4 linked regions of the Schizosaccharomyces pombe genome follow. The gene in region 3 interacts genetically with the main gene of each other region. Each region holds a gene or a part of one and is shown on either strand. Other genes may lie near its edges. The genes, in order: msa1, mkt1, ndk1 and SPOM_SPAC17C9.11C.

Evidence for each region.
Region 1: mutations in ndk1 (region 3) and msa1 together harm fitness less than expected from each alone (positive genetic interaction), as found in Schizosaccharomyces pombe (one large-scale study listed by BioGRID).
Region 2: mutations in ndk1 (region 3) and mkt1 together harm fitness more than expected from each alone (negative genetic interaction), as found in Schizosaccharomyces pombe (one large-scale study listed by BioGRID).
Region 4: mutations in ndk1 (region 3) and SPOM_SPAC17C9.11C together harm fitness less than expected from each alone (positive genetic interaction), as found in Schizosaccharomyces pombe (one large-scale study listed by BioGRID).

What each region holds. Positions count from the first base shown.
Region 1 is NC_003424.3:2,317,892-2,328,199, reverse strand, and holds msa1 (RNA-binding protein Msa1), read left to right. Parts: upstream 1-5,374; 5' UTR 5,375-7,960; coding exon 7,961-9,562; 3' UTR 9,563-9,708; downstream 9,709-10,308. Other genes in the region: citrate synthase Cit1, read right to left, coding at 338-339; SPOM_SPAC6C3.03C (uncharacterized protein), read left to right, coding at 1,566-1,868; mix17 (CHCH domain-containing protein), read left to right, coding at 3,037-3,555. UniProt on the Schizosaccharomyces pombe protein: Negative regulator of sexual differentiation. Acts by repressing the transcription of meiosis-inducing, ste11-regulated genes.
Region 2 is NC_003424.3:1,013,500-1,022,520, forward strand, and holds mkt1 (post-transcriptional RNA stability regulator Mkt1), read right to left. Parts: upstream 5,555-9,021; 5' UTR 5,377-5,554; coding exon 5,370-5,376; exon of another isoform or gene 5,329-5,369; coding exon 3,231-5,328; intron 3,171-3,230; coding exon 2,867-3,170; 3' UTR 2,604-2,866; downstream 1-2,603. Other genes in the region: dnf1 (P-type ATPase), read right to left, coding at 1-1,829; oac1 (anion transporter), read right to left, coding at 6,113-7,075; protein toe2, read left to right, coding at 8,418-9,021.
Region 3 is NC_003424.3:242,509-249,060, forward strand, and holds ndk1 (nucleoside diphosphate kinase Ndk1), read left to right. Parts: upstream 1-5,383; 5' UTR 5,384-5,419; coding exon 5,420-5,875; 3' UTR 5,876-6,052; downstream 6,053-6,552. Other genes in the region: duf8901 (cobalt/nickel-dependent phosphatase), read right to left, coding at 1-307, 409-433; lyr3 (LYR family protein), read left to right, coding at 2,223-2,600; SPOM_SPAC806.06C (nicotinamide mononucleotide adenylyltransferase), read right to left, coding at 2,796-3,902; gamma tubulin complex GCP5 subunit Mod21, read right to left, coding at 6,172-6,552. UniProt on the Schizosaccharomyces pombe protein: Major role in the synthesis of nucleoside triphosphates other than ATP. The ATP gamma phosphate is transferred to the NDP beta phosphate via a ping-pong mechanism, using a phosphorylated active-site intermediate.
Region 4 is NC_003424.3:4,477,794-4,484,486, reverse strand, and holds SPOM_SPAC17C9.11C (zf-C2H2 type zinc finger protein/UBA domain protein), read right to left. Parts: upstream 3,606-6,693; 5' UTR 3,583-3,605; coding exon 3,475-3,582; intron 3,330-3,474; coding exon 2,753-3,329; intron 2,696-2,752; exon of another isoform or gene 2,595-2,695; coding exon 2,557-2,594; 3' UTR 2,528-2,556; downstream 1-2,527. Other genes in the region: TIM22 inner membrane protein import complex subunit Tim13, read right to left, coding at 21-122, 166-234, 293-409; G-protein-coupled receptor Stm1, read left to right, coding at 1,712-2,527; scs22 (VAMP/synaptobrevin-associated protein family protein), read left to right, coding at 4,576-4,765, 4,995-5,110, 5,192-5,845; nuclear proteasome tethering factor Cut8, read right to left, coding at 5,849-6,637.

The sequences.
Region 1 (10,308 bases), 2.1 Mb from region 3:
CTTTTGAAGACCTTTTCTATCCTCTTCAAAGTAAGAGAAATGAACCCATTTTGAGTGAAAATTTGCATACGCTATGTATAGGATTGACCCCAAGATAAGCGCAGATGAAAAAAGTCCTAGCATTGGCAGACATGAATTAGAGCATCGAGTAAACTATATTTCCAACCAAAAATATAAGACTTTCTTTCAAGAAAACCGACATTTCGTAAGACCAAAAGGCCAACGAAACGCAAAATCAAAATTATCACAAAGGAGGATTTTCTAAACTATGCACTAGAGAATATCCTACTGCCTCTCGACAAGATCAAATCTCAAACACCTTTAGGCTTGCACTTACATGAAAAAGGGTATTACAATGCACCGATATTGGCTAAGGAAAGAATAATTGCTGGGATGGGGGACTATTTATTCGGTAAACCTGAGTACCATTAGCATGAACGGAGGGGAGGGTGCGACGTCAGTGCCCCATGATTCTGTCCATTCAACAACTAGCCAAAACCGAGGAGAGGAACAACCTTAGCATATAGACTCGCTTCTGATGTCGGTGAATACGAAATACAAAACCACTTAAAATTCAGTAAAGTGAAGAAGGTTTGTGGAGAATGACTTGGGCAACAAAGCCGAAATCCACCAAACAGTAAGAAAAAATTGTAATGAAGAAAGAAAGCCTTATTTATCACATATTTACTAATGAACTTTAGCCTACAACTTACAAACCCGTTGAAAAGTCAAATCTCACTTTTATGATTGGGACAGGCAACCTTGCATGGAAACCCGGTTCATCGTCGCAGGAAAAAATAATATTTTATTATTTAGATGTACTTTGATCAAAAATAAATTAAGGAGTAAGAAAATTTGAAAAGAGGCGTATCCGATGTTTCCATAATTGTTGAATGATACAAATTAGACTACATAGATTGATATTATATCCTTTCAACAATGAGAGAAACGAGATGGGTATGAATAAGTATTGATTTCCTACCAACAAACAATTTGTACATTTTATGCTTTGAAAACGTACTGATCTACATTACCATAGTGTCTTGTATTGTTGGCCTTGCAAGTGAAGTGCTATTTACTGTTACTATCAATAAACGCATCTTTGGTTCTTGGTTACCATACTTTGTGCTACAAATTTTATCTCTCATAAGTTTTTTTTCTTTTTTTTTTTTTTTTTTGAAATTTTAAATAGATAACAAGCCGAATTTCGAGAATTTGCTTGTCTTGATCAGGTAAAAAAGGGTAGTTGCTCCGATCGATCGAGCTAATGATATCAGTAAAGATCAAAATTTAGGAGAACTTCCGCGGTAGCGGATTTCTCAGTCAAACATAGTACTACAATAGATACAGAAAAGAATTGCTTAGCTATGCAAATATTTACTCAATGAACGTTGACTGAAGTAGCTTCATCTCTTGCATGTGCGTTACGGCAATGCATATGCATGTATCGGGAGTGAATAAATGAATAGAGATGTTGACAAGCGACAAGAAAATAATTTTTATAGGTAAGAAAGTTTTTGATAACTTTTTCTAACTGCTCAACCATTGCTATTGACGAAGTTTAGATGGATGTTTTTTTCTTAGGATTGCTAGTGGTAATCGCTATTTTCACTAACGCTAAGCGTTACAGCTCGTTTCGCTTTTTATTCCCATCCAAAAACTTGGACCCCAATGAGACAAAGTGGGGGTGGAATATTAGAATTGCGACTTTTAGATCGTTACTGAATACCATTCCAAGTATCCCACATTGGAGAACCATGTGGGGAACCGTTCGAGTTGGTATTGTACATACCCCGTCGGCCAAGGTAAGAGAGCGTGTAGACTGTAGTTACTACTTTTTGGCTAGAGGATTCAAAACTCAAAAATAGCTCTTAAAAATAAATATAGAAATGAATTAATTCAAAAACATATAATTTTTCTTCGGGATTCCTTTTTTTTACAACAACAGTCATTTCAAGTGCTTTGACTTGACAGACGCAACATAAATAAATAAATAGAACACTTTGATGCAAAGTATCGAATTCCAACATATCTCTCTAGACTGCTTTTCTATTAAAACCATGACTACTAGTGTTTCCATATAAAAATATAAAGAGATCCATCAACAACTAATACGTACATATTAGATTTTGCATTCCCAAATTGCTTCGTTATTTCACATACACCCATTTATTTAAAACGAGTTAAGAGTAACATCATTTGAAATCAACTGAAACATTTATATAAGCTGATTTTTCACAATCTTGCTATTTCACTAGTGTGGAACCTGGAGCTGCTTCATAGTTTTATACAATAGCATAACAAAACTCCAATAATCTCATTTATACTCTGACTCACCAAGTCGATGATGTGTATCTATTTAGGTTAAATTGATCAATTATATAATTGTTTCTCATATATTCCCTTACTTATCGTATTTATTATTTATTTATTTATTTTTATTTTTTGGAATATATACCGTCTAATTAATAATAACATGATTCTATCCACTACGTTATAAATAATGTTGGCTAAAAAAGTTTCTTTACGTAAAAAAAAAAAACAAAGTCAAATTGCTTTGCATACATGTGTCCAAAATTTACGATTATTGAGAATGATAGATAAAATCATAAATAAAAGTTTTGAAAGTGATGGAAGTTGCAATTTTCTTTCTTTATTGAAAACTTGTGCATCCATTTGTATTAGTAAACCAGCTTGGATTGTTAGGTAACTGTTACCCCAAGGGCATCTGGTCTATACGACTTGAGTGGTGCAAATATCCAAGTTGTACCTCATGTCTTCCAATCCGCTATAGCGAAGACGATGTTTGGTCGGAACGATTCTCTCCATTCATCGATTTTCTTCAGCTTCTTCTAGCAACGCTATATATATTCGTGCTCTCCGCCATCTGCCTCTTAAACACTCGTATATCGTTTATCCTTTCATTGACGGTATTCCTTTGCAGATATCGTAAACGAGTTTTCATAAAATTTAATCCTTTTTTGTTTATCTCTTACTTCCTTTGCCCATTTCCATCTCTTCACATAAATAAGTACGATGCCTCGTAGACGTTCTGCCGCACCTCCTCCTCGCCGTGCAGCTCCTGCCAGAAGTGCTTCCACTGCTGCTGCTTTACCTCCTAGGACAATGGCACCTCCTCCTGCTCCTAGTCGTGTGCAACAGGCTCCTCCTCCCACCGCCGTCCAAGGAGGCAGCTCACCTGGATTCTTCGGCAATCTGGTTAGTACAGCGGCTGGTGTTGGTATTGGAAGTGCTATCGGACACACGGTTGGCAGCGTCATAACAGGCGGTTTTTCTGGAAGTGGTTCCAACAATGCTCCAGCTGATACTAGTGTACCTCAATCTAGTTACAGCAACAGTGTTCCAGAAGCCGCTTATGGTTCAGCACCTCCATCCACCTTTGCCAGCAGTGCTATTTCTGAAGAGGCGAAGAATGCTTGCAAGGGCGATGCTAAAATGTTTGCAGATTGTATAAATGAGCATGAGTTCAGTCAATGTTCTTACTATTTGGAACAGCTAAAGGCTTGTCAGGCCATGTGGTCCAACCAACAATAAGAGGCAATGAACTAATTTATTTATTTTTCTATTAAATAAAAGTTATGCCCAGTTTGTTTGCATCAGCATCAGCATCGAAATTTTTTTTTTCATGTTTCTACTAACGAGAACGTTGAACCCTAATAGCATTTGTTAAGCAGTAAATAATAACTGGTTTCCCTGGTATAAGACATAGTATAAGAACGAGAAGAAATAAATCATATATGGTATTTTTTTTGTTTGGTTTAGTAATGAAGTTCTTTTTTTTTAAAATGGCCCAGTAATAAAAAAGTTCACGAAGAACGTAGTTAGAAAGCTTGATAAATAAATTAAATGAAATCTATGCTCTTTAGAAAGTTCTATGATCTGGCTTGGAGAAGAGTAGTACATAACAGTATGGTAATGTAGTTAGAGCTTCTCTTAACATGCGTACGTTTTCATACCTCTTAATAGTAGGGATGGTTCAGTTCATACAGCTACCTAGTTCACCCCATCAATCAATCAATCAATCGATACAGTCACTCTTCAAAGCATTTTGAGAGTTCTCCCACAGATTTTATGCTAGCTGGAGTTCCGACTTGTTTATTAAAGTAGGAAGGTTGGAAGCGAACCATATCTAACAAACTTTTTTCAAAACGAAAATTAAAAGCAAATTAAACTTTCATTGTCTTACGTCCCATGTTAGGGGGGGGAAGCAGCTAAACAATGATGATTTATAGATGGTTGCCTCGGCTATTATTTACTTTGTTTCATATCTGAAAGAAGAGTAAGGGATAGGATACGCCAAAGATCCACCATAAAACGGTTTATCAACAAAAGGATCATCATCGAATTTGGTTTATGAGTCTTTCAAATGTACTCGTGTTTGTTAGTTTAACATACTATTGCATCCACTAGAGATAGTTAAGAGAAGCTGATTTACAAATGATCGGTTTCGACATGTCTGCCAAGTTATACTTTTAACGTATTACCAAGAAAAAAAAATTTACGGGACGGGGATTCCATTCTTGCTGCTTTGGTTTATACTGTAAGCATAACAGCAATCTTAAATTGAATCGTCTTTGCCAAGCGCATTTGTAAGAGTATTGTATGCTATGCCACGCAGTGCATTTTCATATCCAACGCTACATACAATTTGTTGTTACTCTTTCTGTAGACCATTTCGGAACGTTGATTGAAGATCGGAAAATTTAATGTTTCGTCCAGAAATTGTCTGCATATGTAGTATCACAGAGAGTGTCAAGTCATATCTGACAGCATCAGGTTAATGAGCTTAATTTGGGCCAAAGGCGAGCTAGAAAAGAAGAAGAAAAAAAGAAAAAGTAAACAGTAAAGAAAAACATATAACGACTCTTATTCATCCTTCCTCAGCATTCCCTTTTTCATATTTTTATCCCATTCTAATCCTAGTCTAAGAAATGCTGGCGATATAGACCGAGTCTACTGGTGTCTGGAAAGGAACATAGCTATATCTATATATAGATATAGATATAGATATGTATGTATGCTTGTATTTCGTTGGCAGTTTTCTAGTTTAACTAGCAAAATACAAGAATTAAAATTAGTATTAGTATTATTATTATTATTTTTAAACATTTAAACATCGACTAATTTTTTCAACATCTGTTTTCACTTTCAAGTATCGACTACTTTCTACATTCCAACGATCCATTCTTTATTATAGATTCACCCTTTTCCTCGATAAATAAGCACCATTACACATACTTAAAATTTTTGTTTCAAAGGGAAGCTAAACTGTACGACGATGTTTATCGTTATACTCAGCTGTCACTTATCCAGAACTCACTCCATCAGAGTGCGTGCATTTAGCTTGCTCCCTGCACATCCCACTACAAAGTGTTAGAGATAGGCAATCGGAGTTAGAATACCGAGACTTTATTCCAAGGTAAAAACACATCTAGAAATGGGGACAAACAAAGAAACAAAAGGTCATGTGAATGTTAGATTCAAGGGGTAGAGTTCGATATCTCAGCAAGCGATTCCTTTTTTTTTTTTTTTTTTTTTTTTTGAGAAAACCTCGGTACACGCTAAGCTGGCTTTTCCTATTGTTACTCCTTTTACTACTAGTATTATACTATTGCTTTGCTTTGTTGAATAAACAGTCTATAGAACGCTCAAGAAAATACGACGAAAATAGTTTATTCATAGCTTGACAAACTAACTACCTTTGTTTTGTTTTGTTTTTTTCTTTTCTTTTTTTTTTCGTTTCTTAGCTTGGCTATAGCTTGCGTATTCTGTCTTTGTCAGTCATTAATCCAGACAGTAATATAACATATTCACCTTGTTCTTTTAAAGGTCTCCCTTTTTTTCTTTGTTGCTCATCTAGATTGTGCTTAATTTTTTTTTTGTATACTAATCAAAATTCAATTTATTTTTCTTTAGTTATTTATTTGTTTTTTTTTTCGCTTTATTGGATCCTATTGTAAAAAATCATCTTTTTCATTGTGCTTGCAATTTACCTTTCTTTGACGATTACGCCTTTGTTCACGACTTTTAGCATTCTTCCTTTTTCTATCTCCATGGGGCCGTTGTTAACTTACTCCTAAAATTTGTAGTTGCTTATCTTCACAACCAAAGGATGCTTCGGTGCAGCACCCAATTTTTAGCCCATTACCCTGTGCCCAATTCTCAATGTCTCATCATTTGTCAATACTAGCTTGTTCCTTATACTCCCTGTAACCCACTATCTAAGACATTGTGGAGAGGGAAATGTTGGCAGTAGTGATATACTTCCGAATGGACAATTGCCTATCAATCGTGGTAAAGGAGAATGGCTAGAATTTAGTAAAATGATATGGCCCAAATAGAACGGTAAAATTACTAAAAGATTGAGGATTTGAGGCAGCGTCTTGGTCGTTTGACTAATTATTAGAGTGTAAGCAGGATTCGGATGTATTGCTCCTTTAGTTAATCATATCGTCTGGTTTTGCTCCCTAATGTCCCTTGTCCTCTTTTATGCCGCCTACATTACCGATGAAGAACACGTGTTGAAATCCCCGAGTTTGCAAGTAGTCTTGATATACAATGTCTTTTCCTCGTATATTCCGAGCAGATCTAAACCTTCGTCGTGAATAACCCCCTTCTTTGCTTTCACCTAAATCAATTGCTATTCGAGGGTTTTCGATTCTCTCCTTTCTCCATTAACATACTAAATTCAATTTCTCTTTGTGTGGGTTGCTTCCTTTTTGCTGAGACGTCTCCCCGTCTTCCATCCTGTCTTTATCAGTTTTGTTGCATTTCTGATCACCCATTTTTTCTTTTTTTCCTTTTCTTTTGTTATCTATCGAATACCTCCACATTGCTTGAAATACTAGTGAGACTGCGTTTACCTTCTCTTCTCATCTGATTCTGTCTGTGCCATTGAGCTTTCCTTCGCTCTCCTCTTGCACCTTTTGTTGCGTTTACTGGCTTCTTTATTTTTATTTGTTTTCTTTTTCACCTCAAACTTTCTCTGTGTTCAGCTTTTCGAGATATTCAACTGCAATTGTACTGCTCTTTGATTCTTTCACCTTTTTCAATTCGAACTTGCTACTCCCTCAAGCTTATCCAATTATTTTTTAGCTTCCACTTGAGAAGAGTTCTCTCTATCCATCACCCAAAAACTGAAATTTCATCTTTGTGAAATTTCTTTCACGGTCTGATCACCGTGCAAGCTATTTCTATTCCCCATTTTACTTTTCTCATCATCTGACTCTTATTCTGGAAATACTCGTTTCCCCCACTCAAATATATATTTATTCTTTGGGCTTTCCTTAGACTATTGTTAGACTGCAAAGTCTCGTTTGGTTTACCTACTGTCTATCTCTGGTTTTGGTTTTTCATTTTCCATTTCTGTTTCAGCTGGTTTCTCAAAATCTTCATCCTTTCTTTCTTTCTTTCTTTTGACTCGTCATTTTTAAGAGCCATTCCATTTCTTTCTTATTTATACGTGTATAATCTCTATTTTATCTTTGCATTTTTGCACTAAATTACCATACGCTTGCGTTTTTTTCTTTCCCTATTTCTGCAATTTTATTACCTGAGTAAAAGTTTTCCCATTCGTTTTTTCCTATCCCTTCTTTGATCAATTTTATTTATCTTTTCTTTTGACCAAATTTTTTCTCTGGGGTTTTTTTTAAACTTTGTTTTGAAGGAAATTTTAAATTAATTAACTTTTAACTTTTTCAGTTGAAATACTTTTCATTCTTTTTTCTACGCAGCTTTTGGATTGCTGTTGACACATCATCTCATAACTATCTATTGTATTCCATATAATCGACTGATACGACCTCCATCCCACTTTGGCGCAGGCATCTCGTATAAAGTTTTGTCTTTTTAATTTGATATCAATCCGGCATCCTTGTTTCATGCCCCTTTATAGATCCTTTCTCATTCCAAACTTTTTTTTTAAACACATTATTTAAAAATGGTTGTTTCCTCTCCGTCTGTATCTTTATTGCATTCTCCTGTCGAAAAATTATCAGCCCAACTCGAAAAAACAACGCTTTTACAAGACATTCCCCCAGGTTCTTTATCCGAAAATGATAATTCCACTACCTTTATAAAGCCTCCTTTGGAAACTGCATCATCAAGCACCCCTATCCCAAGTTCCTCTTCCAGTGGAGTATTAAATCCGTCGTCTGTCCGTGGAAAACCAGTTGCCTGTTTATTTGTTGCTAGCTTAAACTCTTCAAGGTCTGAGGAAGAGCTGACTGCCACTGTTAAAGATTACTTTCAACAGTGGGGTCCTTTGTTGCATGTCAAAGTTTTGAAAGATTGGTTGCAAAGGCCTTATTCTTTTGTTCAATTTCAAAATACTGATGATGCATCGAAAGCACTTTCTGAAGCCCAAAACACGATATTGGATGGCCGTCATATACGTATAGAGCGCGCCAAAGTTAATAGGACAATCCGTATATCCTCTGCACCCCATCAACCTTACATTACAAAAAAAGACATAGATAACTTATTGGAACCTTATGGCGAGGTTGAAGATGTCACGGAAATACCAGATCAATCCGCTTTCTTAGTACGGTTTGTTTACAGGGATGAAGCAATCGCAGCCTATACCGCGCTTAAGCATTCTGCCTGGCCTGTACTTTGGGCGGAAAATGTGACATATCAAAACGGTCACTATAAGAAGAAAGGTTCCTCCCCGTTTTCTCCACCTAACGCACATAGTCGAAGGCGAAAGTCGCAAGGCAAAGATCAGTCGAACACTCCTGTTATCAAAGCACCTGCCCCTATTCCATTCTCAGTTTCTTCCGATCCTCCTTCTACCATGGGAAGATCAAATTCCGCGGTTCAAAGTCCCTCATACTTTGCTCACTCATTGGTCAATTCTACTGAATTCAGTACTCCTAATGAATCTTTAAGCTCCTTACCGAGTATATTACCTTCAATACCCTCTTTAGAAAGCGGCAAGGCCGAACTCCCAACAGATGGTTCTTTTGAACAGCCTGGATATCCCATGAACCCCTCTATGATGTTTGCTGCAATGCCTCCACCGATTGATCCTTATTCTATATTCGTTGGCCAACTCGACCCAGTAAATTGCACACACTACTTACTAGTTGATCTATTTTCCAAATATGGAAAGGTAATCGATTGTAAAATAATTCATCAAAGCAAGAAGCCTGCTTTTGCTTTTCTAAGGTTTGATTCTCAACAAGCCGCTTATGCTGCCGTCTGCGGTAAGACGAGGTCCCCACACCAGAAAAAGCCTTTGCGTGTTGAATTTCGTCAACTAAGACCAATGCAGCAATTTTCCCCTCAATATCAATATCCCTCCTATCCATATCCGATGTTTCCAGCGCCATTTTCACCACCTCGTAATGCAATGATGCCAATCCCTGCACCCATGGATCAGTTTTCAACATTTCACCAGTCAATGGCTACCCTTCCTCCTGGTGCCGTTCCCACATCAATTCCTCAGTCGTACTATCCCATTTATTCTCCAGAAATGGCTATGCCTCAATCGTACAGTCCGATGTATTATACGCATAACCCACCTATGGATGGGAATTAGATTTATTTTGAATTTCCCTTCATTATCTGATTGAGGTTTCACTTCTTTATACAGTCCTTAAGTGTCGGAGTTTTTTTTATTAGGTACATATTCTATAAAACACTAATAATTATCTAATTTATTTTACTTAAAAGATGCAAATTGGCTGCAATTATATTTAAAAGATTTAGAGTCATAAATGTTATTATGTTCATATATATGTCTTCTATATAATTTTACGAATTAGTGTAACTCGTAACAGTTCTCTACTTTACGCATTAACGATATAATGATATTAGATAGAAGTTTATTTATATATGCTCCCAAATATAGATGTTCTCACACATGTATCGTATACACTCTAACCATTTGATTATTTTCACTACATAAATTTTTACAAAAATACTATATAAAGTCAATTCATTTTATGAAATTTTTAATTTGAGGCTGTAATATTACGTGAACTTTTTATTTTGGCTTACTGGCGAACTGAAAAAAGAAAATTAGTTTTTTTTTTAACAGACCTCTATTTCATAGCTTTAGACTTTCTCAAAACACTAGTTTCATATAAATATTCCTTATAGACACTAAATACAAAAAAAGGTTCGTGAGGTAAAGAACCAGAAAAAGAAAAAAATTATAAAGACAGGACAAGCATAAGTTTACAAGGGACTATTATATACGGGGTATACGTTTCCTTGCTATACTGATTCTTTATACATCTCCCAATTTCGTTTGCTATATATTCTTGTTTCTTTTCATTCATA
Region 2 (9,021 bases), 770 kb from region 3:
TTGGTTAGATACCACAGCTTCCTTTCCACTTTTTTTTGCCAAACAAAATAGGCAGCAGTACAATATATAGCCATGCTAACAACCAATGCAAAAATGAAAATTACGATTCTATTAGTGACCTTTTGCATTGATGGTGCCTTTACACTAACGTTTCGAACAGCATTCATGCGAATTTTGGATTCCTCGCCAGTAAAAATAACCAAAGCGAACAATTCTGAAGTATTTCGCAAATTCGAGCCTCTGTAAAGAACATCGTTATTAGACAATGGTATTTCTCCTTGTATTGAGTCAAGTTTCATACTTCCATTAAAATTGTAAAGATCACCATTCGGGTCTTCAACAGTACACGTACCACTCAATCGTATTAAATCATTAATGTCTTTGCAAAGAGAGCGGAGCGTGGAGTTTACTAGTCTAGTTTTCAAGGATGTTTCACCATCAAGTGCAGCTGTTTCGATGTAAATAGCGCCATTAGGATTGGGACTCGACAAAGCTATTACGTCTGCTGGAAGAGTTTGATCACTTGTCAGTCGAATAATATCACCAACTCGAACATCTTTCCGATCACAGCTAGCCCAAAAAAAAGTAGGCTTATTTGCAGGTATGGAGCGAGTAGTAGTTAAAGTAGAGTTATACAAGGGGGGTTGCGGGTCAATGTTAGGTTTGACACTTAACGCCGGAGAAGAGGGGGAAGAGGGAGAGGGAGGAAGTTGAGGTGGATCTTCTGAGGTTCTTTCAGGTTCTCTTTCATCAGTTGATCGAATAGTACTCCTTGAAGCAGATTCTTGAGATCTACTTCTTCTCCACCGCCGACGACGAAAAAAAGATGAGTGCTCTTCAACAATAGGCGGATCTACATCAACGTGACGAAGAACTTGAGTTTGAATTCTATTTTCTACGCGGTCTTGGCGATATCGCCGATAATTATCAAACCCTTCACGAAGGATTGCAATTGAAATAAATATAAGTAGAGGGATGATTGTAGTGTAAGTACCGGTGGTTGACCAACCTGGAATCATTTGCATAATAGCAATCAGCAAAAAATAACAGTTGGCAGTTTTTGAAAATTGAGCAATGATCTGTAAAGGGACAAAATTGTATTTGTTGTACCGAGACGAAACAATGCTGTTTTGCATATAGGGCTTTCCTGTACGCTCATCAATTTGGGAGGAGTCATCGTAAGGGTTTATGATAATTATTCGACCATGACTCGACTTCAAATACCGTGTATCACGCGAAAACAAGTTGGATAAGAAATTGGAAATGAACTGCAAAGGATTTGGTATTGTAAACTCTTTATGCCGCGACTTTAAAAATTCCGGAGGAATTGGAGGACGCCCATTGAACACAGGTGATGCCTCACGAGGAGAAGTAGGCTCAATATCATCTAATGGGATTTCTTCCACAGGTCCCTCTAGGAAGGAAACATGTGCTTTCTTCTTTTTTCCCTTTCCTTTCGAGGTCTGCTCAGTTTTGGTAGATGGAGTTAACACTGAAACCATAGAATTAGCTGTCAGTTCTAATACCGACTTGAAAGATGATTTCAGTCTGCTATCTGATGGCGAATTAACATCGTGTGATTCGTCAACTTCAACAGAATCCAATTTTTTGCTGTCCCCATTTATATCAATTTCATCAAGCTCATTTTCATCAATTCCTAATGGAAGAGCGCTATCCTGAAATCGTACATGAATATCCTCTCTTCGTTCGTTAGTGCCATCATCTGCAGCGTTCCAATTAAATGCACCATCTTCTTCTCGATTAGTCGTTTCATTTAGAAAATTTGTTTCAAATCCATTGGAATCGCCTGCGATACCACTAGACTTCATAAGTGCATCTGAACAAATAATGTTGGTTGTTGCTAGATTCACACCAAATGGAAAATCAAACTATTATTTGATGGTAGCTTGCTGAACCACACGGGACATTGTGCTACGCCTTACAAAATGAGACTACACTAATAGCAGTTCATTAAAGTTAAGCTTAATGAACTCCACAGTAATGGCTTACGCTTGCTTAAGACTTTCTAAATAGTGTGTCAAGTCTCGCAATATGCAATGTAAACAATAAGTTACAGAGATTTTGATTAACTGTCAGTTACTTCAACTACTACCGTTTATATTTAAAAACTGACATTGTCAGAATTTTGTTAACTATCGACAAATATTATTAGATGTTAGTGTGAGAATTGGAGATTCTCAAAGCTAGCAAGTTGTCGTAAACAGCATCTATACAGTAAATATCTTAAAACAAAATTATACTATCCAGCTTGTAAGTGGTTAAACTAAGCAAGTCTTTCTGTAAGCACAAGGTTTTTAATTCGTGAAATTGATTAGGTAAAATTATGTTTCTGATGCGAATTCGGTTTTTTGTGAGTGAGCCAGTACACATAAACTAAAATCTAAAAAATCCGCTTGAACTTATCAAATAAGTTAAAAATTATTCCCATACTATAGTGTAAAAACAACGGTATAAGTTATTTTTTGACAGGTAAGTGTATTGCTAAAAATAAATATAGTATCCTTTAGAACAAATTAAACTATATCTATAAAAAAGTTTAAACATCATTGGGTTTTCATTCAAAGCTGTGCTTCTCTATTTTTCTTTCCCTTCCTTTTTTCGGGAAGAAACAATGTAGTTGAATATTAATATTAACAATACTTTACTTGTTCGAAATAATATCTCAACAATAATCAAGTGTAATCACATGAGTGTATAGCATGTTGAAAATGCTTCGACAGTATGAGGGAAAGTAATTCATGTAAATGTGCATTATGACTGTGCCGAATGTGTTAAAAGCTCCCGCTAAAAGAAGGATACTTCTCTCACTAATTTATTTCTATTCATAAACTACTAGTTCTGGTCTTCATAAGCCAAGAGAAAATATCCATTGGTTAGTAAGGAAGAGTTTACTTAAAACGAGCTTGCCAATGGCACTTGTATTTTCTGCTTCCTTAACCCCTTCCATAAAAGTTTTCCAGAATTCCAAAAACTGGGCAATATGGTTTTCCGCAGATCCAATGGTTGGGAATTCCTTTTCTATTATTTCATAAGCCTTCTGGATGTTTTCCTGTTGAGAACTGGCTTCTTGCTCTTTTGAAATGATTTCAAAAAAGCGCTTGACAACAAAACCTGAGACAAGGCTACCATTTATGTTTTGAAAAGGTAAGCTAAATTGGTTAGAAACTTTAAATATAAACAAAAAAGGAGAAAGAGAAAAAAACACGTACGTTTTTCGGATAAGTTTAGGATCTATTTTGCTTTTGTCGACGTTTCTGTTCAAGATGACCGAGGCAAGAATCATGGCCATGAGTTCCTTCAAGTTGGATCCGAAGCTAGTTTGTAGCTGATAAAACTGTAATAAATTCTCATCAACTATAGAAATTTTACTAACTTCAGGTCTCTGTTTTATTGGTAGAAATGTTGCAACCTTTGCCAAGAACTCTGTGGCAGAAGTTATGGATAAATCGGCGATGCTTGCACTTGAGGAGGAAAGTAAAGAGGGCTCTTTTAATTGTCTTAGTCTAAGAAGCTCGAATAAAACAACAACGGAAGTTTGGTTCTGTAAGTGACAATTTTCCAACGCTTTTAACAAGGGGCATCCCCAAGATGTTAATTGATGAGATGTTAAAACGAAAGATCTAATTTGCAAAAATCTGTAGCAAGAACTTAAGACGATTTCCGCAGTAGAAGACAGAGGATGCTTGGGAGGGTTTTTTATGCCAATATTACCTTCAGTGCAAAAGCTTTTCTTTACAAATACCGGATCGTTCAAAGCACGTAGTAGATCAAATAATACAACGGGTTCTTCCTTTAAAAAATTACTAGATAAATAACTCGGTAAGTTTTCTTCGTATATCATCCATGCTCTCGTATCATTATACAAAGGAGGATCATAGCTGTGCATTACCTTCAAAGAAGCTTGCTGATTATGGCCATGAAGGGAAACAATATCTCTGGCTTGGTAAAATCTGTTAAGCGGTTGGGTCAATAAATTTAGCCCCTGCGACCATATTTCTTCTAAATCGTCAACAAATCGCCGTTGATCCACAGCCGCTACAGCTGCTGCATTGTCGCGACCAGGATTTAAACCAGAATTAGCACCAGAAAATGTTCCTTGTGATGCTTTGTCACCAATATGTTGTTCAAGTATGGAAACAGGATCACTAAAACATCCAGATACTAAAGCACCTATCATTTTGCAAGGAATAAGACCGCGAGAAATGTAAAAATAAATCTCGTTGGGAAGACGGGTGCCAAAATATATATTTATGTCGTTAGGAACAGATTCTGTGGGAACTGGTGGTAAAGTGAGACCTTTTGTATCCATCACAATTCCAAACTTAGAGAAACAAACAGCCCTTTTGTACTGTTGAAGATAATCTTGAAAAATGGGCTGGGGAAAGATTTCAGCAAAATGAAGGACTGCACGATACGCAGAACCAAACATACGAACAAGCTCCATTGCGCTTTTAATTAGAAAAGTACCCTCAATCTGAGGAAATGTAGGAGAAATAGCAGTACCACACAATAAACAGGAATCGATGAACTGCTGCCATGAAAGGCCGTTCGTGTCTTGAAGAAGGGCATTTCCATCTAACCATGTGAATGAACTTTTAGCGGCCGAATTGATAGTTGTTTGAGTTGATGGGGATGAAGGGTCAGATGAGATTTTAACGTTAGAAGATGTGTTCATAGAAGTAATAAATTTTTTAACACCAAAAAGAAGCAGATCCGTGGAACCATAGATGGCATCGATGTAAGGTGAAGATGTGCCGTTTAGAAAATATGCTAATTGAGCCATAGCCAGATACGGGGCGACAAAATACTCCACATTACATTGATCTAAGTAAAACTTTACCTGGTCGCAAAGACGATCTAAATGATCTCGCTGATTGGTGTACAAAAGTGTTGGTTTACTTTCGCCGTAATTCGCAGGACCACTTGCGTCCATGCGGTACATATTACGCTGAATATTTGCATCATAAGGATCAAAAGCTTCGAAATCTGTCAATGCACTATGACTTTTTTGCTTTCCCGGCACTTCCAGCTGGCTGCTGGCTTCAAAGGTAAGAGGTATACCATTGAAAACAAAAATGGGTGTGATATTCTCAGTTCTCAACTGCTCAAGGAATTCCGAAATTCTGTGTTGTAGATATTCGGATTCACCATTTACTGCCAAACTTTGAAGTTCCTGTGGGGTAAAGGAATGAATAATTTGAGTCAAGTAAAAACTTGCGTCAATACCCAACTTACAGTTTTGAAAACTGCTCAAGCTAGATTTATGTTGATGCTTTTTGTCTATGATAAACAAATTCAATGAACGAACTAAAAAATTAGCAGATGAGTAGCAAGGTATTTTAACTTACTTGTCATTTTTTTTCTTTTTTTTAACTGAATTTACCAAACAGCAGTTTAAACCGTAAGGCGGTTTTTTTTTACTAAACCTTTAATAGATCCTTAAAAACAAACAGATTATTTTTATATGTAACGGATATATTCAGATTTTATTATGTTGTACTGAATAGAGGTGTCCGATCCGTTTATTAGAGTCAGCAGGAACGAGCAAATTAGTGAACACGAATACTACGATAAGAAGTTCAGAAAATATTTTATTAAACTAACATGATTTATCTAAAAAACATATAACTGTTGGCGAAATGTAAAGATTTCAAATAAAAACGACGCAAAATGAAGAAATTTATCCATTGTGACTACACAAAGCGGTAATGTTTCCAATCTTTAATTATAGAGAAAATAAGTATATTAATAACTAAATAAAAGGTAAGTTGATATACAAACGCAGCCAGATGCCTGAAATCCAAAAACAAATACGTACATATATTGAGATAACTGACGGATATATATTACAAAAGACAAAAACATGCCGATTGATCAAAAACAGCTTGAAAAGAAAAATCGACTTTTAAATGAAAGTAGAGTGGAAATAAGTAACGAGACAACGAATGTAAATAAAAATCGTTCTTAGATACAAACATCATTTCTTTACAATTTAACTGTTCACTTGATATACACCAAAGCCACTGGGGGTTTTTATGGTTTAGTACCAAAATTATTTATAAATAAAGAAACGTGCGTTTGAAAAAACAACTTAATCCTTTTGGAATTTCAAAAAGAGTTTATTGGTTTGCTCCACGAAGGTAAGACAGAAAATTGTGTGAGGAGCGATTCTGGCCAAGTGAGCACCAAAACCCTTATATAAGGCAAAGAATCCTTCAGAGCGGATTGTTTTAAGGATGCAATCAATCGGATTTTTATAAAGCTCCTTGTTCTTTTGGTTGTACATACGAGTCATAACAGTATCGAAAATTTGCATGGTGCAGCATACACCAAATCCAGAAACAGCACTAGCAGTTAAGTGTTTGATCATACCCTCTTCCAATAGATTGTAATGCTCAATCATGCGTTTAGCCCAATTATAGATAGGAAGCTGAACAGAGGAACCAGAGACAGTACGGAGAATGGCAGCATCAGCACCAACAAACAAACCCTTAACACCATTTTCCTTAATAATACGACTGAATGCATTAAATATATGCTTGTAACCATACTGCTGGCCAACGGGAAATTTAGGAGAATACGACTGCATGCGAGTCTTAACCAAGAAAAAGGGAGAGCCAAACAAGGCACCACATAAACCTGAACCGGCGCCACTTGCAACGTTAATAGCTAATTTATTACCCTTGGGATCATCAAGGAACCACGTATTCAGAGTACGTCGAATCGGTTCGTAAAACCCGAGACGACAGCCATTGAGGCAGATTTGATAAACATAAGCAGTACCAAGGCCTCGTTGAAGACCTCTTATACCTTCATGTCTAGCGATTAGAGAAAATGCCTGACCGACGCTTTTGTAAATTCGCTTAGAAGGATCCAATTTTGTCAATTGACCTTGAAGTTGAAAACGCGTTTTAATAACTTCGAAAGGATTTGTCAGTGTTACAGCACCACAAGCTGCAAGACCACCTGACAAAAATCCACTAACGGGACCAAGTTTTTTCACCTGAGTAGGATTGTGTGCAGGAAGGGCTTTGATAGTTTGTTTCTCAGACATGACTTAATATTGGGATTTTTTCTTCGAATTTAAACAAAAAAATCTGCCTCAAATGGCAATTCAATTTGCGTAGCAAGTGTTGGCCGAAGGAAAAAGAATTCTTGCAGTTGAGATTTTTTCAGTGATAATAGCCTTGATTAAATTGTGCGCGGAAAATTTACCATTGCGGCAATTTGGGAAGGCAAAACGTAACTTTCGTACGGACTCAAAAAATAAGCAAAATGATACTAATAAAAAAATTATAGATTGAATTGCAATTTTTTTATTTACAAGGCACCCTAATTGCTCTATACTTTTTCCATTTTAATGCTAAATTAAACAGGTCACATGTTACTTATGTTTACTATTTGAAAATACAGATACTAGAACGCACTTAACCTCTTTAAATTAAGGATTTACCTACAATCATATATATTTTTTTTTTCTTTCTCTGTCCTACAAATATTTGGTAGAATTTTAAAATTTTTTGAATAAAAGTCATTTGAAAGTTTGAGTAATGTTTGTCAACAATAAATGCGATCGTTCGAAGGAAGGAAGGTACACACAGTTAACATTTAACTGACTTTACACTTTAAAATAGGATTCGTTGGAAACGCATGGTAGATAATGTTAAAGTAAGACAAATGCAAAATCATAGTAGCAGTAGCTTTAGATGTCATTCACTTCTGCAATGTTGTACTATTATAAAGAAAATGCCATAAAGTGATTCAAATAAGTGCATGCTCTCAACCGTCTACCCTTAACCAAAGTTCTTACTCAGACAATTAAGATGCCTTTTAGTAAGATTTTATACATACGGGGTATAAATTGTGATCAATGAAAAAAATGCAAGTACTAAATTTGATGGATAGTTTGTCGCAAGGCAGGCAATTGAATTTTGAAATAGAAATCAGTCATATTTAAGAATGGTAATTTGTTAGTAAATGCATTAAATCCCTGTGTAAATTATATGTTTCTATTTGAGTGCTTTACGTATCTAACGCATGTTATCCGAAAGCTGTCTGCTGTTGAGATTGCTTACTATTGAAATTAGTGGATATTTATAAAAGTTGTCCAGTGTGCCTTGTGTTTGGTGTTACGAATTTACTTTTCGCCAACATCCAAACACAAGTGTCTTTGGTTCAAAATCAGTATAGCAATAAGATTTAAAGATATAATTCTTGCCTATTTAAAGCCAAGACTACTTTTTTATATATTACGGAATTAACTTCTTTTCGCTCCTGTCAATTGGTCGCAAGTATCATTTTTTTGACGTCTATTGATTCAAGAATTAGAAGAATCTAGCATTCAATTGTACTTTATCTTTCACAATATTATATAACTTGATGTTTAAGAAGAGCATATGAGTGAAACAACCAAGTCTGGTTCTAAAAAATCAGGGCAGACATCACGTAGGGCGATCCATTCGTGTTTGGCTTGTCGAAGAAAAAAACTTAAATGTGATCATGGAAGACCTTGTTCCAATTGCTTAAAGCGATCAACAATCCAGTCATGTATTTATATAGATCCTGGGAAAACTAATTATGACAAGCGCTTTGAACGGGGTAGCGAAGCTGACGAATTGATAGATCAGTTACTATCCCGAGTTAGCATGCTGGAAAAACGTTTAAATGAGGTCGGCACTAAATCGCAATCTGATTATGAAAACCAACAATCTCATAATCTTCCTTCCACGCCTTCGGCAGATGCTGAGACACAGCGAAACATTGGTTCTCTTTCAGTATTAGATGATACAAAATCACAATATGCTAACTACTCGTCCTCTTCACACGTACTCTGGCATTTAAGGAATTATCATTATCTTAACTTAGATCAAGATATTCAAGAAGAAAACGATTCTCTGATTAGTCCGTTTTTTTTTCGAATATCCCCCAATGAATCTGCATACGACTATTTACCCCCCAAAAAAGTATCGGATATTTTAATTGAGCAGTTCTTTTTTCGGT
Region 3 (6,552 bases):
TATAACCAAGGAGCGTTTCCCCAGCTCGCATTGTCAAGCTGTTTTAACTCTTCATTGTACTCAACAATGTCTTGACCTTCACCTTCAAGGGGGACTAAAGGACGATCATTTTTGATATCTGACTTGAACGCTTCCAAGTCGTTAAGAAGAGGCTTCCCTTGTGCAACCACCTCAGAATCCTTAGAAGTCGAAGCCAATTTGGATAGGCGTTCAGATACATCTTTTTCAATGCCAGTTAAAATAATACCCCATCGACGAGTAAAGCATTCGTGACCAAATGATTCAGGATCACTAGTCATAGAATACGCTAGGTTAACAAAGCATTAATATGAGGAATCTCAAAACAATAATAATTTAGCAAGAAATCTTTATTCCCTAATAAAGATAAACTAATTAATTTTTACATACGGAACGGTGGATTTAGAAACTTCATTTGGACGATTCAAAAGAGATACAAACAATCACCGTGGTGTTAAGTGAACTACTTAATATATTGAAGGATGCAAGCGCCAATGCTGAGATCGCTTGCCGATGGTGACATAATATTATAAAATATAAGTAAGAATAAGATCTCGGAGAAAACTATTACTACTACTTCTAATTTAAATCTGACATTAGTTTTACGGTAAGATTGGGATTTGTTCGAGTCAATATATATATAGTATACAAATTCTACGACGGATGAACATAGATGAAATCTTCAAACGAATATATATTTATTATTGAATGTACTAAGAATTATTAAATGCATTGACTAGTACAACTTTTAAGCCGACTTCCCTCTGAAATTTTGTCAACCATGATTACGACGCTACCATCGATTTCATCAAACGTTTGTAGAGTAGTTTAATTTGGGCTTATTCTGTACTTAGCTTTAGCAGACGATCACTCGATGTCTACATAAAAAACGAATTGAAGTAGGTTTCTCCCTTTTTGATATATGACTGACTATACTGAAACTGCTCAGTACTGTCTTGGGGGGTTACTCAGAACTTTTACTACATAGTAGTATCGAGTTATATCACGGATTGCGTAGCAGGTACCTGCGTTGTCGTCGGAAGCTGCGTTATAAAAAAATGTATTTTACTTCAAAGATTAAACATGTATGTTATCTCACAGCTAAGTACATAAATATTTTATTTATTGATTGATTGTTGATCCTAAATTTAGCGTACTAACAGAATGGCGGCATCGAGTTAAATGTTTGAAGATAATAGTAATGTAAAATCAACAAAATAGTATAATTGAAAAGTTCCTTCTGTTACACCGATTCCATTCAGTTCAGTGCTAAAAAAATAAAAAACCAAACAATGCTAATCTGAGAAAATTCTTTTATAAACTAATGCAAATGATAAGCTATGGATTTAAAAGTTAACGATAAATAATCAATTGTAAAAGTCTGAAGAAAATTCAAAAAAATTACAAGTGATGAGTGTGATGTCAATATCAATAAATCGTAAAAACACGTAAACGCATAAAGTAAAAACTGTAAAATAATAAATAAAATTATTAAAAATGATTTTATAATTGATTTGCGCACTTGCAATATGTCGAAGGTATCTAAAATTCTTTTAGTCTATCATCACATACGATACTATTTTTTAAAATACATTTTGAAGATTTTTAGAGCAAAAATACTATTAAACATCGACCATTTGCACATTCGAAATAGTTAGTGTTTATGACGTTTAAAAAAATTACTACTAGCAAAACAAAAGTATTCTATTAAAATGCTGGTACTAAGAAAATGATAAGACAAAACATATAGAAAGTAAATTTTTTATATAAACACTTGATCGTTTCATTAATAGGCTCAGTTTTGAGGTGTAAAGATTTTTACCTCTTAATACTCCAAGCACTGACATTCCAAGGTCAGTAGTAACAAAACAGTAACCCAGGTTACTGTTGTTTACAGTACTGACCACCCAAACTACGTAGTTTTTCCAACTTCCTGTTGCAACTACTAATACATCGTGGAAGACAAACACTCTCAATTTTTTTTACGAGCATTTTGTTTTCAAAAAAAAAATATAGAGATTATGAATCACCAAAAAAGACGCGCATAAACGTCAGTACCTTCAGAAGTTAATCTTTTTTCTAAGGATTAATTAACCGCGTCCTTCTATCGCTCTTACCAACTTGCCTTGTCTATTCTATTTCACGCTGCTATCATAATTAAAGCCTCCTTCAATCGAAGAATAAATAAAAGGTTTAATTTAGGAATGAAGAAAGAACATGCATCAGCATTTCGACAACTTTGGAGAGCAGGTATGGCCGCGGCTATTTCAACTAGATTTCCTGGCCATCGATTTGTAATCCGGGATTTGCTTCGTAACGGATTTCGCCAAAACAATTGCTCCTTTTATTCAAAGGAAAAAGTTGAAAATACAGTTATATTTTTGGAAATGGCCGCGAGCAGGAAATCTGTAGAACACTTAATACTAAAAAATCGGTTGCATATTCAAATGTTTCGTCGTAAAGCTGGTCAACGCCTTGCACATTATTCGACGGCTAAGGAAAGGCCATACTTCTTATCAGCGTATGACACCTATGAATGGTGTCTTCAAAGGGTTGGAACAATATATAATTTATATTTATAAAACATTTCTATTAGAAAATAATGTTCCATTGGCTTTATTAGAATCCGAATTCTTGTCAGGTATAAGAAAATAAAACTACAGAGCACAGAAATCGTGAAACAAGCCATTCAACTAATGTATAATAGAAGAACAGAAAATAAACACTGGATTACACAAAATTACTTATGGCAGACCAAGAAAAGTGTCTCATAAGATTTATGGTTCCATACGCACAAACGGCGACTGATAAAAAATAGTTTTCACAGGTTCAGCGTCACGATAAAGGGCGTATCTTTCTATGTACTGGATAACGGAATTGGGTAATAAATATCGAATTGACATGCCACGACGAATAAACAACCGAACCTTGGTAGATGAGATATCGTTATAAATAAGTTGCTTTATGACGAGGATATTTCCACGATATGCAAACATAATATCGTGAGCTAATAAGAAAGCCCAGACGTCACTTCCTGTACGTTCTACGATGCAGCAACCAAATTTACCCAAAATATGATGAAGATCTTTGTCGGACCACACTCCAGGTTCACCCATGCTCGCAATCAAATCACCTCCTGCCAATAACATAATTTTACAAGGTCGTTTAGTACCATCCGATAATGTTATACCACCTCGTTTCTGATTTATTTCTTCATCAAAATGATCCAGTACTCGTGCTGTACAAGTATAACTAGGTTGTAGACTTTCCCATGCATCCACCATAAGCCAACTAGACGTACGTTCGCATGCCAATTCGCACATACGTACACGATGATAAGCTGGTGCAAGGCCTTCTTTTTTGTAGTGGTCATTAACCGGAGAAAAGTAACCAGCAACTAATTCCATATTAGTCTGCTCCTGAATAGTATCTGTAGCCATTTCAAACATTCGCAAGTGTAGATAGGTAATAGGAGAGAAAGAACCGCAAGCGACTAATACCAAAGGGATTTTTCCTTCATCAACTAAATGATTCCGAAAGCGATGTTTTGGAAATATATACTCATTTAGTTGTCGGGCTTGTCTAGTGATTCCACGCGGTACTTCTTCAAGATCCATCACCTCTCCTAAACTAGCAACGTCAGCTTCACGCTTCTCTAAACTCACGCTGGGGCCTCCAGAGGTAGAGTTCTTTTGCCATGCACGATTGACGCTGGGCCTACGAATACGCTCTTCGTGCTCTTTGGCAGCATGTTCATTCAACCAGTCTTCATCTGGACTAAATTCGTCTGAATATTGAATAACGTTACTGGACGAAGAATTACGAGACAACAGGGGATTCTTCGGAAATGAATTTGCAAAATTATCCCCATTCATGGTGTGCATATTAAAAAGGAATTATGACGAGGAATGGTAGACAATCACAATCGGGTCAATAAAGAAACAGAATCGGTAATAATAATACAAAAATCGATCAAAACCGCGTATAATAAGAAAACCCTCTTTTTCCAAATAATGACAGACAACAAGCGAACAAATAGGATCAAAAATTTAAAGGCTGCGGGAGAAAGAGGATACTAAATTCTAAAGAAAAATGAATAGCAAAGTAGGATATGGGAAACGAAGGAAAAAAATTAAAATTACCCTTTAGGTATGGAAAAACGATAATGTATAACCAGCGTCTAAATTTGGTTGGAATTACTTGTGATTTCTTAGTGCAACTCTCGAATAACAGTTGTAGAAAAAGAATGAAGGATAACCTATAAAAAGAATTGAAATAAAAAAGAAAAGAAAAGAGGAAATTTGACGACGAATCGCAAAAGAAACGTTTCCCGATCTAAGCACTTTTATGTCCTCAAAGTTGGCTCAAAACTGATATTCAGTGCCTCTTGTCACTAATATCAATAATAAATATTAAAGGTAAACCTTTTTGAAAGGAAAACGGTTCTTTTTAACAACCTACAGCTTAAACTGATATTTTTTGCGTTTTTGGTGGTATAATGGTTATGCGTACAATGGTGACTTAATGTGCAGATAAACAGCGCTCGAAAAGAATGTAAATAAAAAGTGATGATACTACAACTGAATTGTTAAGAAAAACAACTTATCCCTCGTCCGTTTATGAGTAAAATTGTGAGACGGCTGTCATGCTCATTAGATAGACATATAATGATTTAAGCTTATCTAAATCCCGGATTTTCGAGTATATGCCATTACGAATATACATAAATTCGCAAACAAGGATAAAACTCTAGGAATAATCATAAAAGCCTTATTCGTATATCAAGACAATGTTAACAATTATATGTATAGGGATAACTAATATATGTACGGAAAAAACCGTTTGCATGAAGTGATGTAGATGTACTTGGAATTGTATCTATTATCAACTGGTTGATAATCAAATTTTGCAGGTATCCCAATACTAAGTTGGTATCAATTACAAGTTCTTCTAACTTTTATTAGTGGTTTCATTCGTTACATGGTCCTAAAACAGTAAGAAGTTGGCGATTGGGATAATAACAAATCCATTATATAGTATACAATAAGCCTTACAATCTTTTGATTTGTGGAGAGTTTTTACGTATGTAAAAAAACAAAACTGGCTTACCGTCTACGGGTACGCTTTGAATGCTTTGTAATGTGTTTGTAAATATGCATTTTTTGTAAACAATAATTTACGACCATTAAGATATCTGAGGCTTGGTGCTCTAAAAATATAAGAAGGTGTACTATAACGATTCTTATCATTTTTTATTATTTACATCTGTTTCCGCTTTGTTTATGCAATCATATTGTGAGTGTTATTTGTCCTTGCTCCGTAATCCTTTATATGGGATAGTAGACGGGACAGCTCCCATCTACTCAACCACCTCATATCACCGAGTATAAGCATTTTTGATATGTCGACAGAACAAACTTTTATCGCTGTGAAACCGGACGCAGTTCAGCGAGGACTGATTGGATACATCATCTCAAAATTTGAGTTGAAGGGCTACAAACTACGTGCTCTAAAATTTTTAGTTCCTAGTCGTGATCTTGTGGAAGAACATTATGCCGAACATAAAGGAAAGCCTTTTTATGAGAAACTCGTTGGTTTCATGGCATCAGGCCCTGTATGTGCCATGATATGGGAAGGTAAACAAGCCGTGAAAACTGGTCGCTTAATGTTGGGCGCCAGTAACCCTCTGGATTCTGCCCCTGGCACTATTCGCGGTGATTATGGTATCGACCTTGGTAGAAACGTTTGCCATGGTTCTGATTCCATAGAAAGCGCTAATCGTGAAATTAAACTTTGGTTCCAGCCTTCGGAAATCCAAGTTTACGATCGTACAATTGAACCTTGGATTTACGAATGAATAAGAAGAAGTTAAAGAGCCTCTTCAAAAGGACTCGTGTTTGTTATGGGTGATGCAAACTATCAGCAACACCCAAAGCAAATAAATATGACTAATGATTTTCTACCTTCATTAAAGCACACTATCATTTTTTTTAATAGATATAGGTCTTTTTCAAATATCATTCGTTAGTAAACGACATGAAACTAGAGAAATCGCATGTAAGTCAGTATGGTTTTACTCATCCAAAAGGTTACTTTTATGAAATCTATTGATTCTATACACGTAATGGTAAATATTATGGCATTTTATCGTAATCATGGCATTATAAGGAATAATAAGTCAGCCAAATTTCGTCTACATCGATAGGCAGAACTACCAATGGGAACAGAAGGATGTATGAGATTGTCCGCTAGTTTCGCTATTATATTACAGGTTTGGTCCAACGTAAATAACGGATCATTTTTAATTCCTGAAACGGTCGAAATTTGATATGTATTTTCCATGACATCTGGTAGCTCTTGCTTTTGACAATTGAGCAGCTCTTCATTTAAGAGCTTCTTTATGTCATCAACAAAAAATTCAGATAAACATTTCTGCTTTTGCTTTAAAATAAGTTTCTCTTTTTCCCCTATTACAGATTCATCATCAACATCATTATTAAGCGTTTCAAAAACGCCGTTGAATATAGAATTTTC
Region 4 (6,693 bases), 4.2 Mb from region 3:
GAAAAAAAAATCATTATTATTCAGTTGAGATTTTTCTGCTCTCGTTGCATACGAGAGATATAGGTTCGAGAAACAATGTTCCAAGCATCCATATAGCGTTCCATACATTTGGAAACGCAAGACTTTTGTCTAGTTAGAATAAAAGTATTTTAATAGTTCTCATACCTTTTCATTGGGATCGAATGTGGAACCAGGCTCCGGGATACATTTATCAAAACAGTTCTCATTGATTTTCTAGATAAACCGATTAGTTAAAACATTCAATAAAACATAAAAAATGAATGGAGCATACACTTATCAATTCGCCAGCTTGAGCAACAGCAAGTTCCTGACGAATTTGTTTCATGAAAATGGATTTTTTGTCTTCAGAAGAAGGTGCATTTCCACTATTTCCACCGAAAATGCCCATTTTGTTTAAGTATAACGTTAAAACTTATGAATGTGGATAATTTTTACTCCTTTACAAGGAAAATTAATGAGGAAATGGTACGTTCGTGGAAAGTACCAAACGGTGTACTTAGGGAGACTAATTCAGAAACCGGCCATCATCACCAATTAGACTTCGTTAATAGAAAATGGATTTTCTAATATGCTGACATATGCGATACAACCAGACAGCAATCTTTGTTTTGTTTTCTACTTGGTATAAAAAAAAAAGATTTAATAAAATATTTCTAAACTAATGGATAGATATACTATTCGGGTCCTTTTGGTGAGTTTAGAAATAAAAGTTTTTTCAGCGTTTTTTTATTATTATTATTTTTAATATTTTAATATACGAAATGAATCGTTCATGACTTTTCATTACCCTTGTTTAGAAAAAAAAATAAAAATCCCAATTTGTAAGAAATTTTTATAGAGTTTTATAGTCTCGAAATTAAATCATGGAATTAGCACATCTTTTACTGCAAATAATCTGAGAATCAAACAAGTCACGTAAACATTTCAATGTTTAATACTGCTAGCGATATTATGGTGTATTAAATTTTATAACAAAAACGAGTTAGCTTGACATTGATAAAATTAATGCGACTGTTATTTACATTGAGAATTATATTGTTAAGTGAAATAGGATTATTCGAAGGAAAATCTATTTCGCTTACTATTCCTTTATATTTCTTTAGAATGATACCTTTGGATTGACTATCAATTGTATCTGTAAATCCACGGACACTTTCTTAATTCTGCGAAACTGCATGGGCGGCAAATTTTTCTTATCTTGAAATCTCTATATAGCCTTGCCCGAGGTAAATAAATAACAGGACGGCTGGGAGGTTGATCTTATCCAGAGCCAAACTCACCACCAAATCTCTTCTGTTTCTTTACAGTGGGAGAAATATTGTTTACCATTGTTATTATTATTATTATAGATATTCCTTTTAGTGTTTATTTTTTAAAACAAAAAAAAATACTTGTAACGAATTTTCATTAAGTATCATCTCTTGGATCGCTAAAATAAATCAGCGAATATTATAGTGCTGAAGCATTACACGTTCGAGGAAGTTGACAAATTTTAATAATTGCTTATCATTCCTATTAAATTAATAGTTTGATTTCCCTTTCAGGTTGCTTCGCTTTTGTAGCCCTTTGTTTCCCGTTCTTTTTATTTATTGTCCTCCACACTCATATAAAAAACTTTGACCATAAAAAGCTTAGACAAGCTCTTCTCAAATTCATTTTAAAATTATCTGTTCGCAAGCATTTTTGTCCCATGTCTGTGATAGCTCCTTCTTTTGATATGGCTAACATACTCACGGAGTTGTCTTCATTTTTAGGAGCATTATCCCTGGGATGTTGGGTCGTTTTACTGATCCCTCAATTACTTGAAAATTATAAAAACCAGTCTGGTGAAAGTATCTCTGATTTATTTTTAATCATCTGGCTTATTGGCGATTTCTTCAATGTACTTGGTTCCATTTACGGAAATGTCTCTTCTACTGTATTGGTTCTCTCATTTTATTACATTGTCTCTGACAGTACCCTACTTATGCAAATTTACTACTATCGTTGGAAAGCTGCCCGTCGTATTGCCAGTCGTGAACACGAACCCTTACTCCAAAGTCGTTCATTAGAAGAAGGTCTTCATGCACCCATTGGTAAACAACAAATTTGGTGGGATCGCCTTTCTACCCGTCAACAATTTGGTGTAATGGGATGTGTGGTTATTGTCTCGACAATCGTTGGAAACTTAATTATTTCTAGTGCCTCTTCTGACAAGAGTGATGATGACTTGAATGCATGGCCGTTTACTGCCGGTTGTATCAGTTCTGTGTTATACTTCTGTGCTCGTATTCCTCAAATCATCAAGAATCACAAAGCAAAGTCTACCGAAGGATTATCCATTATCTTTTTTGTGTTGGCCTCTGTAGGAAACACTTCATACGCTTTCAGCATTCTCGTATTTCCCGCCTCCGATTACTTAAACTACACATATGCTAACCTGCCTTGGATACTTGGCGCGTTCAGCACCATCTTCCTTGATATATATATCTTCTACCAGTTTATCAAGTATCGTAATCATTATTAACACAGCATAATTATCAAAAGGTCATAACTTTACCATTGCGGAATAAGAACGGCTGAGGGAAACAAATCTATGCAAGCGTTAATAATATATTCCATGTCTATAGTTCAAAGTTTTCAGAGGAAACAAAGATATGTCGTTTAGATGCTAGTAGCAACACAATATTCTTTCAAAAACATGTATTCTAATGTCACACATGATGACAGTAAACACTAGTTTGATACTTACCAAGTTGGTTAACCGGTTTATCAAATACATCAGTGCCGTATGAGGCACGGGGAAAGGTAGTGGTAAACTTAGTTGGCGGTGACACGTTCATTTTCTCAGCGACCTGTTGTGCCAATTGGCGTAGCGTCTCCTCAGCTGCAATAGTTATATTACAAACTTGACCATCGTGTCGGATAGAAAATCTGCCTGATGTAGGAGGGGTGCGAGTACAAGTAGAAGACGAATTGGCATTTTTAGGCTGCTTGATGGGAGCAGCCGTTTCTTTTACAGAAGAATTCTTATTTTCCCGTTCTGCAGCTCGTCGTTTTTTATCGCGTTCAATTTCTGCGAGGATTTTCTTACGCTGCTCAGCATCTTCAGCCTTTTGTTGACGGATCTTTTGCAAGTCACGTAAGCGGGCTTGATCCTGCATCTTTCTCATAGCCTGTGCAGTTTCATCATTGGATTTTTGAAGGATTTTATAATTTGTCTTCTTCTCTTCCAGAGCCAAAATCCTTTCTTTTTCCTTTTTCTCCTTTGCTTTCTCTCTTAAAGCTTCAATAGCTTGTTTTAACTCTTCGGGAGAACGCTTCTTAATCTATGTTTTATAATCGTTGTTAATAAAAAGAAAGGATCGAGTGAAACAAATTATTGTTTTCGTGAATTATAATAATAAGGATGGTTAACAATTCGAACGCTTCAACCATTCAGCAAAAAGTAAAAGGAGTAAAATCTATACATACCTCTTCTTCAGTTTCCTCAAATTGATCATGACTGGTTTTGGTACTATGAAATTCAGCCATTTCGATGGAGGAAAGCAATTTATCGCATTCCAAACATTTCAAAACCATTTTTGTGTAGAGTTTGTAGTTGCAAAAGGCAAATTACAATGACGCTCAAAAATAGCCCTACGTTCCATCGACTCAACATCTAACGTGCTAATATCTACAATATCGTATTACCAAACATCGCAGTTGAGAGCATTATAAATTTGTTGGTCATTGAAATAGAAATGACAGGTCAAATGAAACAAAATAATTGTAGTTACCACCGATTACGCTATGAATTAGAAGAATAAATGATTGTATATATTGCACGACATCCGCAGACCGATGATTGAAAATGATTACTGACTTTCGTGATCCTGTAGTTGGCATCCACTCGAGTAATTCGTTTCCTTTATACATGGTATGCTTTCTAAAGCATCGCTGATATTCCTTGAAATAAAAATGTTGATTTTTCCCTAGCATAATGACCATTAACGAAAGTATACAATATCTATTTAATGATTGTCTAAACCAAAAAACGTATTTCCTTTGAATAGAAAGTGTAAACGAATGCGCAATTTTTTTTTGAAATCATAATGTTTACTTCATCCTTGCATTCTTAAGTTGTAATTAAGACAATTCAAACGCATTAACATGACATTTAGAAATTAAAAAGGATAACTTGAATCATCCTTTTTGGGTATTTATATCATTTATTAATTTCACAAACAATAAATCCATATACTTATTGGGATTTTATAACCATACTGCATTCGTACATTATTCACCTACTGCAAAATATTTTTTAGCATATATTACTTTTTACTTTCAAAATATCACATTTATTTTAATAATATCGTTATAAGGCTTTGTATAATATCGATGAAAACAGTTACTTGAATAATTATCTCCTTTTATTTCAGTATCCATATATTACCATAATCTTTGCTCAGCCTCGGAAAATCACACACAAGTATGTGTGACGTAAAGCCACGATTTTTGGCTACACTGCGAAATGGTACTTCGCAGAGTAAAGTAGTACCACCTCTCGCAACAAACTCGCCTTTCCCGTAAATCATGGCTCTTGAATGTGATAGTACAATTGTGTTTCCTCGACCACTTACACGACTAGTAAAATGTGATTTAGAACTTCGCAATACTGCACCTTATCCGATCGGATTCAAAGTGAAAACTACTGCTCCTAAACAGTACTGTGTGAGACCCAACGGTGGTCGAATTGAAGCCAATTCGGCTGTAAGTGTTGAAGGTAAGATAATTTATATTTAATTTTGAACCTCATTTGCATTTTTTGATTTTATTCGTTTAAGCGGTTCCCATCATTGATGTTGTCGGGTGGAACAAAAACGTTGTCATCAACGTGATTTTCTTTTGCAAACTAACAGTTTTTATTGTTTTTGTGCGTGCACTGGAAGATAATTTGTGCTCATTAGTTATTGCTGTAAATTTTCATTTACTAACTTCTTTTTTTTTAATAGTTATCCTACAGCCTCTAGATCACGAACCGGCTCCTGGCACAAAATGCCGCGATAAATTTTTGGTCCAGAGCACTGAATTGAAGCCAGAATTACAGGGAATGGATATAGCAGATATTGTATGTGATAAAAGATATACTTACATTTACTTTTTTAATACATGCCATACATAATTGATGTTCTAACCAATACTTTAATAGTGGACTCAAGTCAGCAAGGCTAATATATCGGAACGAAAAATTCGATGTGTTTATAGTGAAGGCCCCAGTACTGCAAATGCTCATGCTAATGCTCACCATCAACCAGCTCAAACAACGACTACATCTATTCCTACTTCTGCCACTGACAATTATACCACAGTAAATGGTAATGTTAATCAATCTTACTCTAAAGGAATAGACGGAACGGCACTTCCTTCGACCCATGCAAATCCCGTAGCTGCTCCATCTACAGCTACTACACAGCATACCCAGCTTCCTAAAACATCTGCAGTTTCTCACCAGAAGCCCCATGAAGCCCCATCTACTGCCGTAAAAGCTCCTACTGCAACAGTCGCTGAAAATGAACCTTACCCAAAGCCTCAGTCAGTGCCTACTACCACTTCTCCTAACAATGAAAATAATGCATTAAGATCTACCGCTAATGTAATTAATAACACAAGACAATCAACAGCTACGAGTCCATCTATGTTCGCTGGAAACAGTGGAAATCAAATAGGACTTGCACGCGTTTCATCGTCTTTTGGGCGTCCGACTAGTGGTGCCAAGGTTGTTCCTCAAATTCATAACACAGTTACTGTGCAAACCGCTTTCCTATTAGCCATTATATGTTTCCTTATAGGCCTTCTGTTCTAGTTTTTAAATATATTGATGCATACTGTGCCAACCCATTCCATTGTCATTCCCAATGTTCATACTATTAGTATGACGATGAAAATTGTTTTGTGGATTTGTTTGTTGAAAAGTATGACTTCTTTCATGTACAAGTGGCTCATTTTTTTGTAATTGCTTAAGGTAATTTAATGCCTCTTCCATTCTGTTTTGTGATGTTTTATTGTGCTCTTCCAACTCTTCCAAAGGTAGTAAAGGGACTACAGGCCGATCCTCAAGTTGTCTTAAAACAACAAGCCACGCGCCCGTTAATTCATAGTACGCTTGACTTTTATAAACATTATGGTTGGGATTATGGAATTCTGGCAGTTCGTGGACAACGTTTGTAGCGGCATCAAGAAAAGTAATATTTTTCTCAAAACAAGTAGAGTATGGAGGTAAATAACAAGGAACCATATCATTAAGCGCATGTAAGACAGCCATGTACTTTTCACGAATTCTATTAAATGCGTAATCACCCCTCTTGTCACCACCATAGGGAAATGAGTCATTCAAGTTAATTAAAAGTTTACGCAACGTTTCAACACAAGTATCCATGGACGGCGCCGGTAATATGCCCCGTATATCACGTGCGAGATCAGGATGCTTTTCTACACATTGTAATAAAATTGTAAAAAGCTGTTGTTTGTCTGAATATTGTAGCAGTCTCGACAATGGCAGTTGCTCACCCACAGGTAGTTGACGAGCACGCTTAGAAATGTCTTCGTCAAAATCAGCTTTGCGTTTCTTAATCTGAGAATAAGATAAGGTCTCCATGAATTAAGGAAATGAACAGTAACAACAAATAAAGATACCAACTTCAAACGTGAAAT